Linked DNA regions of Danio rerio. The protein of the gene in region 3 interacts with the protein of the main gene of each other region in a pairwise test. Links are inferred from orthologs where the notes say so. Each region holds a gene or a part of one and is shown on either strand. Other genes may lie near its edges. The genes, in order: hdx, glis3 and sufu.

Region 1 (3,662 bases), on a different chromosome or scaffold from region 3:
TTAAAACATAACTGATATTGTTTTAATAAGCAATCAAGAAATAGAAAAGCATTCGCGGCAGCCACGTTTTAGAATTTAACAGATTCTCACCCTGTTATTTACTTGTTTATTTTATTTTTTGGCTTTTGTTTTTATCTTACCTGCTGCCGGACTCGTACCCCGTCGTCAGTCAACTTTGCTCCACGTCACAAGTCTGCCGACGTATGCAAAAACTGGTAATAGCGAAAAAGCTGTCCATATGGAGGTAAGCCGTCAGCTGGTAAGCGCCACAAGGAACTGCATCCTATCACCACATAGCATTCGTTTTAAAGACAAATTGTACCTCTGGCTATATAATTTGCGATCTCCAGAAATGTATTTACACTATTCTCCGCATACGACTGGGCGCAGCCATTTGAATCTTTTTGGCTCGAGACTTCCGGTCTAATTCATTTATTTTTAGACGTCAAAATTGGCTTGTTTTGCTGCTTGATGTTGCAAACTGATATTTTCTTATTTTATTATTCTATATTGTCTGTTCAGTCATGGACGCACTTGTTTGTAGAGCACGTAGTTTGACCATTTTCTGCCGTTTACTACTCATTTCTACCATAGGGAACTGAATCGAAAGTTCTTAATCGCAAAAGAGTGCACTTTTGCATTGAAGAATAAGGTCTATATATTCTTATATATATTCTTATATTCTTCCTATAATATAGGAGTACGTATTCAGAATGAGCCTATGTTGGGGATTACTATTGAATACTATTGAATTCCATACATTCTATAGTGGAGTGAATTCCATAGTAGTTGGCCATCAACTGGAAGTGAAAGTCAATGGTGACCAAACATCTCTTTAAGACTTTACCAGTGTCATACAGGACGCCCCCACGGTAGAGGTCTGCATTTTAAATTTCTGAATAAATCGTGGGAGCGGTCGGTAACGGGTTTAACTTGGGACTGGACCGGGCCATCTAGCAATATCGCTTCCGATTCCTGAGCGAGCGAGCACGCATATGTATGTGTGTGAATGAGACAGCGCGATGCTGTGTTTAGCTTGTTTATAGCTTTGTGAGTGTGTGTGGGCGTGAATGAGAGAGAGAGAGAGCTTTGTCTGTGTGTGTGCTTGGTGCTTGTGTGTGTGTGTGTGTGTGTGTGTGTTTATACAGACAGCTTGTTATAGGCTGTCTGGACTCTGTATTGCTGGGTGGTTTTCGGTTTTGTTCTCCCCCCCGCTCTTTAGCCGGATCAGGCGCGGCGGGTAGAAAACGGGGCGGGTCGGGCAGTGGACAACAAAAGCTGAATATAAGCGGGAGCGGTCAGGTTCGGCCTAAAACCTGGCAGGAGCGTGATTCAAAATTGTCTCGCGCGGATCTCTACCCTGCGGTTTGCATATGCATATTGCATCTGTCGAAATAAAAAAGTCTATAAACATTGTAAAAATGCATTAAACATAACATTCTTAGTTATAGTTCTAAGATGTCTTTAGTTTGCGTGTGAGAAACAGAAATTGTCAAATTGATTTATGTGATTATTTTATATTGAACTGGAATGATTTCACTAAATAAAGACGAGCGCACAAAGCCATAACACTACACTGTTGTGTCCTCATAATCAATTAAAACTGCACATGTATGCCAAGTGATGTAATAATGTCATGTAATGTAATAACTCTAAATAATGTGATAATTATTACATTACTATTGTAATGAAATGTTCATAATGTAATCAATTTTCTTAAAATGTAATAAAATGTTGATCTTATATTGCAATGTCTTACATTAAACAACTTTCACTGTCATATCTGTAATAAGCTATTTAAAAATAAAAAGACTCCACTGTTTGTTTAAACTACCTATAAAAGCACCAGATTCAAATATGCATGCAATAATATTAATAACTACTCCTAATACTCCTAATTAATAACTATGTACTTTTCTGGATAAAATGTGAGTTGCGCAACATCAATATCTCTGCTTCAGAGCATCATAGAGACATGGGGTTTAGGGCTTTTGACTGGCAATAACTAGCTAACAATCAACTATGTACTTTAACATGCTACATATTAGATGAAGTATGTTAGCATAAGCTAGCCACGTTAAAACATGCTAGTAACATTAGCTAAAACATTTAATGTCATGCTAAAAATGCCCTGTTATGTTCACCTAATTAACAGGTTGCTAGCATTGAGCTAGTCATGCTGTCATGATACCAATCCATATACAATCACCACAAACCAGAAGAGACATTTCGTATTTGTAACAAACTTTCTACTAACAAACTGATGACATTGTGCCATTTCTTTTAACTTTAAAAAACTTATTAACTTTTCAACTTTTAATAGATATTTAATTAACTTATGTAATAGTTGTTTATGTATTGATATCAATTGTGGAAATGTACATAATGCTAGACCACTAAATGGAAAAAAAAAGCTGCAATTATTTATAAATGAACAAAAGGAAACTCATGCTTACTCGAACCACGCTGAAGTCAAGTTTGGTCTCTTGAGCACACTGCAGGATGAGCTGGAAGCAGCTCTTGCTCTGATTGGTCATGCCGTTCTCATAATAGCGTTCCAGGATCCGCTGTTGCTCGGCAGTAAATACAGACCGCAAGTTCATCTGTAAGATGAAAAGGATGTTAAATGAACAAGAACATCAATAACAGCCTACTGTATTAACAAAAGTCATTCTCAAAACACATCTTAAAGTTAAAGAAGCCCATATTTGAGCTTTTCATGATGGGATAACTGCTACACAAGCAGATGATAATAACTATCATTACAGAGTTTCTAAGGATTTCTCTTAGACAGGTAATGTTTTGTTTTAAAACTATTTTAGCTTCATGCAAAGCTGATGTAACGTTAGATGTTGTTGTTACAAACGGGATATATCTTCAAAGAAGTGTTGTTCAGCCACTAAAATCTTCCGATGAAAGATTGATAAGACTATTTTCAGTTTCATAAGGGACCTTTTACAGCATCTATAATGTAGATTTTAATTAGTTTACCAACAAAACACAAGTAAATAGCGCTATTCCGCCTAGTCTCTCCCTATATTGTTTACCATGCAACTCTAAATATTCACTCTGACATAGCATGTCAGTTTGGCTTGCTCAACGCCGGACAAGCACTAGTCGCTTTTAACACATGAGAGAGGGTTCTTTTGCTTTGCTAGGAGGTGTGGCTCTAGACGGCAGGGGAGGGACTGTGATTCAGAGATTTATGCTAAGCTTTTAGCATTGTGAAAGATCACCTACTGCACCTTTAACTGAACATTTTCATTTTGGGCTAAACTATATACTAGAATACATTAATTTATTTTCATATTTTGACACTTTTGTTCTTTTAATATGGATCTTCACATGCATTTTTATGAACTTGTGTTTGACACAATGCTGTTTATCACATTAACATGAATTTGTTTGGTTACATCTATTATAGCATTGTACATCATTATATTAATTGTACATTATTATATTAATGTGAATCGCTGAGTTTTTAGTGCATATGAGCTTGTAGGCATACTCACAGTGTGAATGCTCCTCTTTTCCAGCCATTTTTCCATCCCTCTGATGGATGTGCTGAGAGACCCCAGGAATCAGGTTGATTAATCTGAACATGCAGCAGAGACGCACTGCTGGGTGTAAATCTATTCACACCAGCATTCAGCCATCTGCTT
Region 2 (3,662 bases), on a different chromosome or scaffold from region 3:
CATGCGCTATAGGGGAACTGAATAAGCTAAATTGTCCATAGCGTATGTGTGTGAATGCAAGACTGAATGAGTGTTTCCCAGTTTCAGGTTGTGGCTGGAAGGGCATCCGCTGCTTAAAACATATTCTGAATAAGTTGGCGGTTTATTTCGCTGTGGCGACGATTATTATTATTATTATTATTATTAATTATTTCAGTATTTCAATTGCATATATACAGTAGATGACTACTGAAATATATTCTCTGGCTGTTGAAACATTGCAGCTGTAAAATTAATTAAAATTAATGATTAATTTGAATTAATTAATTAATTAATGTAATTTAAATTAATTAAATTAAGATTAATTAAAACTAATATTAATAAAAATTTTGTTAGCATATGCAATCCTTCTGATAAACGTAACCTTCTATAGAAAAATAGAATTGTTCTGTAAAATGTATGTATATAACAAAAAATACAGTTTATATTTATAAATATGTATATGTATATTTATATATATGTATATGTATATTTTCATAAACTAATTGCTCAACTGAGTTTTTCAAACGCATATGCAATCATCCTGATAAACAAGCTTTTATAGTAAAAATAGAATTATTGTGCAAAATATAATTAGATTTAAAAAATACAGGCTCTGTCATTTATCCTTTGGTTTATCCTTTTTATTTTTACTATTGTTGTTGTTGTTGGCATTATTAATATTATTATATTATTATTTATCAACCTCCTTTATTCCTGTAGTTTGTTCATTACCCCACTGTTATATGCTGATGGTCTGCATCATATTTTCTGTGTTCACATTTAATTCCAAAAATAAAACATTTGATGTAAGAAAGTAAAAAAATACTAATTAATCTGCTTCTCTGAGTTGATTTATACACAACTGCTAAATTTATATAAGCTATTTAAGGCAAGTACGTTATAAGTAAATGGAATTAAATGTGTTAACTAATTAATGAATCCCTTACTTTACTTATTTAGCATTTAATTACATGAATTAGTTCATTTGTAGCTAATTACACTCAGCGCTGCTGATAATCTGCATTTTACAGTTTGGATTAATGATGCATCTGTGTGGCATCCAGCTCTATATACGCTGAAAAAAGATATCAATAATAATATTGCCAGCAGAAATTCATTGGATTTACTCAGTTTGTTTAAGGTAACTGCTTGCAAACTATTGATATGGGCTGAATTTAAACAAACAAATTAAAATTAGCAATGTTCAACTTCATTTGTTTGTAAAATTCAGCCCATATCAGAACCACTTCATTCATTCATTTTCTTTCGGCTTAGTTCCTTATTTATCAGAGGTCGCCACAGTGGAATGAACCACCAACTATTCCAGTGTATGTTTTACACATGAATGCCCTTTCAGCTGAAACCCAGTACTGGGAAACACCCATAAATACTCATTCACACACACACACACACTCATACACTACGGCCAATTTAGTTTAGTGCATGTGTTTGGACTGTGGGGGAAACCGGACCACCCGGAGGAAACCCACGCTAGCATGGGGAGAACATGCAAACTCCACACAGAAACACCAACTGACCCAGCTGGGACTCGAACCAGCAACCTTCCCGCTGTGAGGCCACAGTGCTAACCACTGCGCCACCCTTTGCCACCACTTATACGCTTTTTCAGTGTATATCTCCACACAAGCCATATGCACTGATTATGCATATTTAGGAGTGTAAGCGGAGAACAAACCGATCGGCGCTGAATGATTCACACACTCGTACAGCAACAGATTGCGGTTCTGCAAAAATAGATCCGTTTAATCTCATCATGCAGACCGCAGAAAGTTTCCCCGAGTTCAGATGTCAGTGTGAGGAAGGGGAGTCTGACATTACCGGATTACAGCAGGATTACAGGCTGCGCTGTGAATAATCTGATCATGTTTGTATTTGTTGCGTTAACTCTGCTCAGGTTTCTCGGCTGTGTTTTCATACGCCGACTCAGACAAACACATCTCCTCCTGCTCCGTCATGCAGACGCCCATGTTTGAGGACAATCTCAGCTCGTCGCCTCAGATCCACAGCAACATCTCCGGTAAACACACACACACACACACTAATACTGGGACAATCAGGCTGTGTGATGTTGTGTTGTCTTTGTGTGCCACACAGTTGAAGTCAGAATATTTCCTAAATGATGTTGAACAGATTGAGGAATTGTTCACAGTATGTCTGATAATATTTGTTCTTCTGGAGAAAGTCTGATTTGTTTTATTTGGTCTAGAATAAAAGCAGTTTCACATTTTTAAACACCATTTTAAGGTCAATATTATTCGCCCCTTTCAGCAATATTAGTGTTGGATTGTCTCCAGAACAAACCACTGTTATACAATGACTTACCTAATTACCCTAACTTTACCCTAATTACCCTAGTGAAGCCTTTACATGTCACTTTAAGCTGAACACTAGTGTCTTGAAGAACATCTAGTCTAATATTACGTGCTGTCATCATGGAGAAGAGAAAATAAATCAGTTATTAGAGATGAGTTATTAACACTGTTATGATTAGAAATGTGTTGAAAAATTCTTCTCTCCCTTAAACAGAAATAAAAAGGTGCGTTAATAAATCAGGGGGTTAACAATTCTGACTTCAACTGCATATATATATATATATATATATATATATATATATATATATATATATATATATATATATATATATAATACATATTATATAGTTTTAATTTTAAATTTTATATTTAAAATAAATGTAAATAAAATTAAAGATTTTTTTATAAAATTCTGATAATAGAATTAAAATAATTTCCGGCTCATTCTGGAAACGTAGTCCCGCAAACGTTTCTGGGGACCGAGAAATACATCCTGGAAGGTACGTATTTGTGCAGACTTTGTTTTCGCGAATGCGCGTGAGGCCTCTGTGTACGCTTTTTTGCATCTCGAACGCCTCTGTGCTCGCATAAAGCCGCTGGAGGGCGCTGTCGAGTGACTGTCTGTCCGACTGACTGAAGGATTGACTGGGGGACCGGCCAATTGGCCAACCCACCCCCTCCTCCTCCTTCCCTAAACCTAACCGGTTTTACCGATTGACCCGCCTGGCCGCCCGCTTCCTTCCCTAAACCCAAGCAATGATTTACAAAAGCCGTCCAGAAAAAGAAAAGCCCTCGTCTGATTTTGACCCTGTTTTCCGATCTCACCACATTCTCACGCTGTTGTTCACTCAGTCGTTTTATTTTTTGGATTCTGTTTTTGTCTTACCTGATTTCCGGAACCGATCTTTCCCGGGCTCAAACCCTGGTCGTGGCGGACAGCTCCCCTCCGGATCTCCACTCCGCCGTCTTACACAACGAGTTAACCAGACAAACTGGTTGCGGCAGGAAAGTCCTCCACATGGAGGTGAGCAGTCAGCCAGCGAGCGCGAAGAGGAGCGGCGTCACACCGCCCTGTAGCATTCGCTTAAAATAAATGAAATGCAGCCATACGTACATCCAGCTACGTAAATCGCGGTTTCCGGAAACGTCCGCGGGACTACGTTTTCAGAATGAGCTTGGGTGGAAAATAACACAAAGCACAACAAATGTATAATATTTCTATTTTTAATATATAATTTTTTATTTGTTAATAAATCAAGGTTTAAATGAGCATTTCATGCAAACATTTTAGAGAACATGTCAGACAGG
Region 3 (3,662 bases):
GGCGTAGCTTTGGACAGCAGGAGAGGGACTGTATTTAAAAGATATTGTGCTAAATGTTAGCATTTAGGCAGATGCCTTACTGCTCCTTTAAAACATCTATAATAATTGTGAAGAGTAAAGCGGAATACTTCATGGATTTCACCTATAGCAGGCTATTTTTAGAATGTAACTCCTGCAATTAACGAGCAACAACTGTACAGGCATAGTAGAATATATACAATATTGTATGGATATTGTAGAATAAGTGGAGGGATTTTCTATTTTTTACTATTTTGTCTATTTTTTCTATTTTACATCCCTTTAAGAATAGTATTTGTGATTTTCAGTTTGTGCATAAATCTATATTGATACAGAAAAACAAAATCCCTGCTTGAGACACTGTATTTTAATCAAGCTGGTTTGTTGAGCCGTTCTTAAATTGCATTTGTCCTTAGCATGCCTCACCTTTGTCCGACAGTCTGCGTGGCTGTGCCCCAATGCAAATGCTCCTGCTGTCGTCCTCGTCCTCGGGAGGTCTGCTCAAGTCATCCCAAGCACACTTGGCACTCACCCCACTCAGGTTAGAGCCATCCGTCTCGATGCCCTTATCCACTCGTTCCTGCTTTGGATGAGCAATCAACACACGCACATATCAGCAGGGGAGAAGCGTGGCTGGACATGTGTCCGTCTCAGTGTATAGAGCAGAGGACTAACAGCAGGTGGAGGGGTCCAGTTTAAGAGGCCAGACTTAATTACAAATCCACCTTTTCAATGCTGAAGCTTCACTGTGTGAGTGTGCACAGTGTGAGTATATTTTCATTTTTGGGTGAACTATACCTTTAAATCACCAGGAATTAAAATTGTGTGTTACTTGAGAGATGTAAACTGTGTTAAGGGAGTAAAGGTGGCAAATATTTCAAGGAAAAGACCATTTTAGCTTGGATGAGGCACTATATCTAAACAGGCTATACTCTCAACCCTAAAGTGTACATTTGAAACTTTGTTTAAAGTACATAAGTAGTGTAAATTGCAAAACAAATTAAATATCCAATATTTAACTTAAAGAATGCAAATACTGCATTAGCTTAATAAGTTAAAATTATTCTCTGATATCTACATAGCAGGTTTATGACGTCAGTAAATTTAATATATATATATTTTATTCTCATGTTTTGATCCATAAAATAGCCCTAGAATCAGAAGGTCTATAACTGACCATATATGGATCATGTCATGAATATTACTGAGCTCAGCACTGACCTGCTTCTCTCGCAGACATACACACCATAGACTAAACAATATGTAGTATCCGTGACGTCACCCATGGGTTTCTGAAGAGCGCAAACAAAGCTAAAAGTGGGCATGGCCAATCAACGCCATTTTGTTCGGGCGTCATCCCACCAGGCGTGGGGATACCAAAAAGGGCAAAAATGACGGAGCTACAGACCCATGCTATCATTTTGCTTAGACAGTTTTTTCATTAGGAGAAACGTTAAACACTTCATTATACCTGCGACACGTTTGTGTTCTGACCACATGCGCTTGATTATCAATCAGATTCTGGAGTGCAAGTTCAAGTAATTATAAATGATAAATTATCCTTTATAAACAAATACATTTATAGATATGGAATATACAAGCATATAATAATTTCACTCACGTGGAAAATGGAGGCGACTTAAATGGTTTGAGCAGAATTAAGTGCACAGTAGTGCAACAATACAGTTAGCTCACGGTTCAATACATACCTCAGTTTTTTAACACGGTTTTTGGTTCGGTTCTCATGGCTTGACACATGTGTGTTTTTATTATTCAATAGGCAATAGGGACAGTAAGAGGTAAGGGAGAAAAAAATATAAACAGTTTATTGCAATACTTATTTTGTTTTACTTAAAAGCCAAGAAAAGTACACTAGTTCCTAGTGCATTGTATAAAAAAATTAACACTGAAATCTCACAGCTGCTGGTAGCCCATGTACAAACTGGGGAATCCTACATTTAGAAAATAAACATACATGTGAATTAAATAAGGATAAATTGGTCATTTTAAATAAACATATTTGTTCTTAGGTAAACATAAATAAACCATCCTAATTATCTCGGTGCTGAAAAAATGCGAGACTGTAGTCTGTAACACGGATCGAGTGCTTTTATAAAATGACAAAAGCCCACATCTCCAATCACCGAAAACGGCTGCAAATCTTAAGCAACAAACACCCGCACTGCCTTAGTTATTTTTATGTGTCTCTTGGAACCAGTTGGGTAGATTCAGCGAGGGAATTGTTGCTATTTGGAGGACTTTATTACCTTCTCTGCTATCCTGCCTACAGACAGTGATATTGCTGGGTGATGGCGCTGCAGATGTGCAGTCATGGTTATACGTGTAAAACAATGCTTGCGCACAGTTATTTTTTGTTTACCGTTTTCTCTTTTATTGGCATTATGCTTACCAGCATTTTCACTCCAGTTTAAATTTGTTTTCTATTCGTTTTTTGCTGTTGTTGTTGTTTTTCAATAAATATTCAATAAAAATATTTTTTAGAAAATTTAAACAAGGTAATACTGAAAAAGCTTAGTTTTTTTCTTAAAAAGTTACTAATATTAGTAGTAGTGGTAGAAGTAGCAGTAGTAGTGGTGATAGATTACCCTTGTCCAGTAGAATGTGCTCTATCTCTGTCCAATTTACATTTAAGTTAAAGCAAACTTTTATTCAGAAACAAAGACGCTGGCTATTTTATTTTTTTACATAATATAATGATAAACTATAATAATAACAAATCGCTTATGAAGTGATTCAGAAGCGCATTAAAATGCAAGAAAACGAGAAGCCTCGCCTTTTCCATGCAGTTTTAGATGTGAAATGTGAACGGCCTCTTATGCAGCCAACTCTGTTTTTATGACTGAATTCCACCAACATTTTTTGCACTATGAAAATCATAGGGCTGTAAGCTTAGGAACATCATTATAAGTATTTTTATCTGCGAATAAGCTATTCTTTTAGCACCATGCACACTACAAAAATCCTTACTTGCAAATGTGGATCAATGTCAAATATGGATTCTCCTCTTCTCATGTCAGTGATTAACCATGGACCTCCAGCACTGCAAACAAACCAGAAGAGAAATCAAACTTCATTTCTGAATAATGAAAAATAAGAACAGCACAAAGCATCCCAGCCAATTTGAGCTCCCTCGTGCCTTCTATAAAGCAACAGCATTCAAAATCCACTACTCTTATCTGCAATTTCCACAATGCCCCAGCACGAAAAAATAAATGTAGTAAGACACAAATGCAGTGCCCTAGACTGAATTCAACAACCTTTGTAAATATAAGCAAAGAAAGCTGTGTGTTGTTCAACCTTTTAATCTTTTGCTAAAAAATAGTAATAAAAAATGAAGACATTTGAGTTGGTTTTGGATGAAAGCAGAAGCTTTTTCTTAAAGCCATTTCAAATTATTTGTGGTGATGTAGGTTACATCAAATAGTCAATCTTGAGTCAACCAAATAACTTCTGCAATTCTCCAGCTGTGAATCTTTGGATATATTTTTGGTCTTTCATACCCTCCTCCTGACTGTGCATTGGGACGAAACACACTTCCTCCTTCAGGCTGATTACTGGAAATTCTTAAAGGGATAGTTCACGCAAAAATGAAAATTCATCATTTACTTGTCCAAAGCAGTCTG

The links.
Region 1: the proteins of sufu (region 3) and hdx interact in binary tests that used the Homo sapiens proteins (3 or more experiments, as listed by UniProt). The link is inferred for Danio rerio from reciprocal best matches to the Homo sapiens genes SUFU and HDX.
Region 2: the proteins of sufu (region 3) and glis3 interact in binary tests that used the Homo sapiens proteins (3 or more experiments, as listed by UniProt). The link is inferred for Danio rerio from reciprocal best matches to the Homo sapiens genes SUFU and GLIS3.

Annotation. Positions count from the first base shown.
Region 1 is NC_133189.1:6,749,757-6,753,418, forward strand, and holds part of hdx (highly divergent homeobox), read right to left. Parts: 5' UTR 3,549-3,662; coding exon 3,513-3,548; intron 2,604-3,512; coding exon 2,457-2,603; intron 1-2,456.
Region 2 is NC_133185.1:953,952-957,613, reverse strand, and holds part of glis3 (zinc finger protein GLIS3), read left to right. Parts: intron 1-1,936; coding exon 1,937-2,059; intron 2,060-3,662. UniProt on the Homo sapiens protein: Acts both as a repressor and an activator of transcription. Binds to the consensus sequence 5'-GACCACCCAC-3'.
Region 3 is NC_133188.1:12,265,051-12,268,712, reverse strand, and holds part of sufu (suppressor of fused homolog), read right to left. Parts: intron 3,080-3,662; coding exon 3,007-3,079; intron 602-3,006; coding exon of another isoform or gene 599-601; coding exon 445-598; intron 1-444. UniProt on the Homo sapiens protein: Negative regulator in the hedgehog/smoothened signaling pathway. Down-regulates GLI1-mediated transactivation of target genes. Down-regulates GLI2-mediated transactivation of target genes. Part of a corepressor complex that acts on DNA-bound GLI1.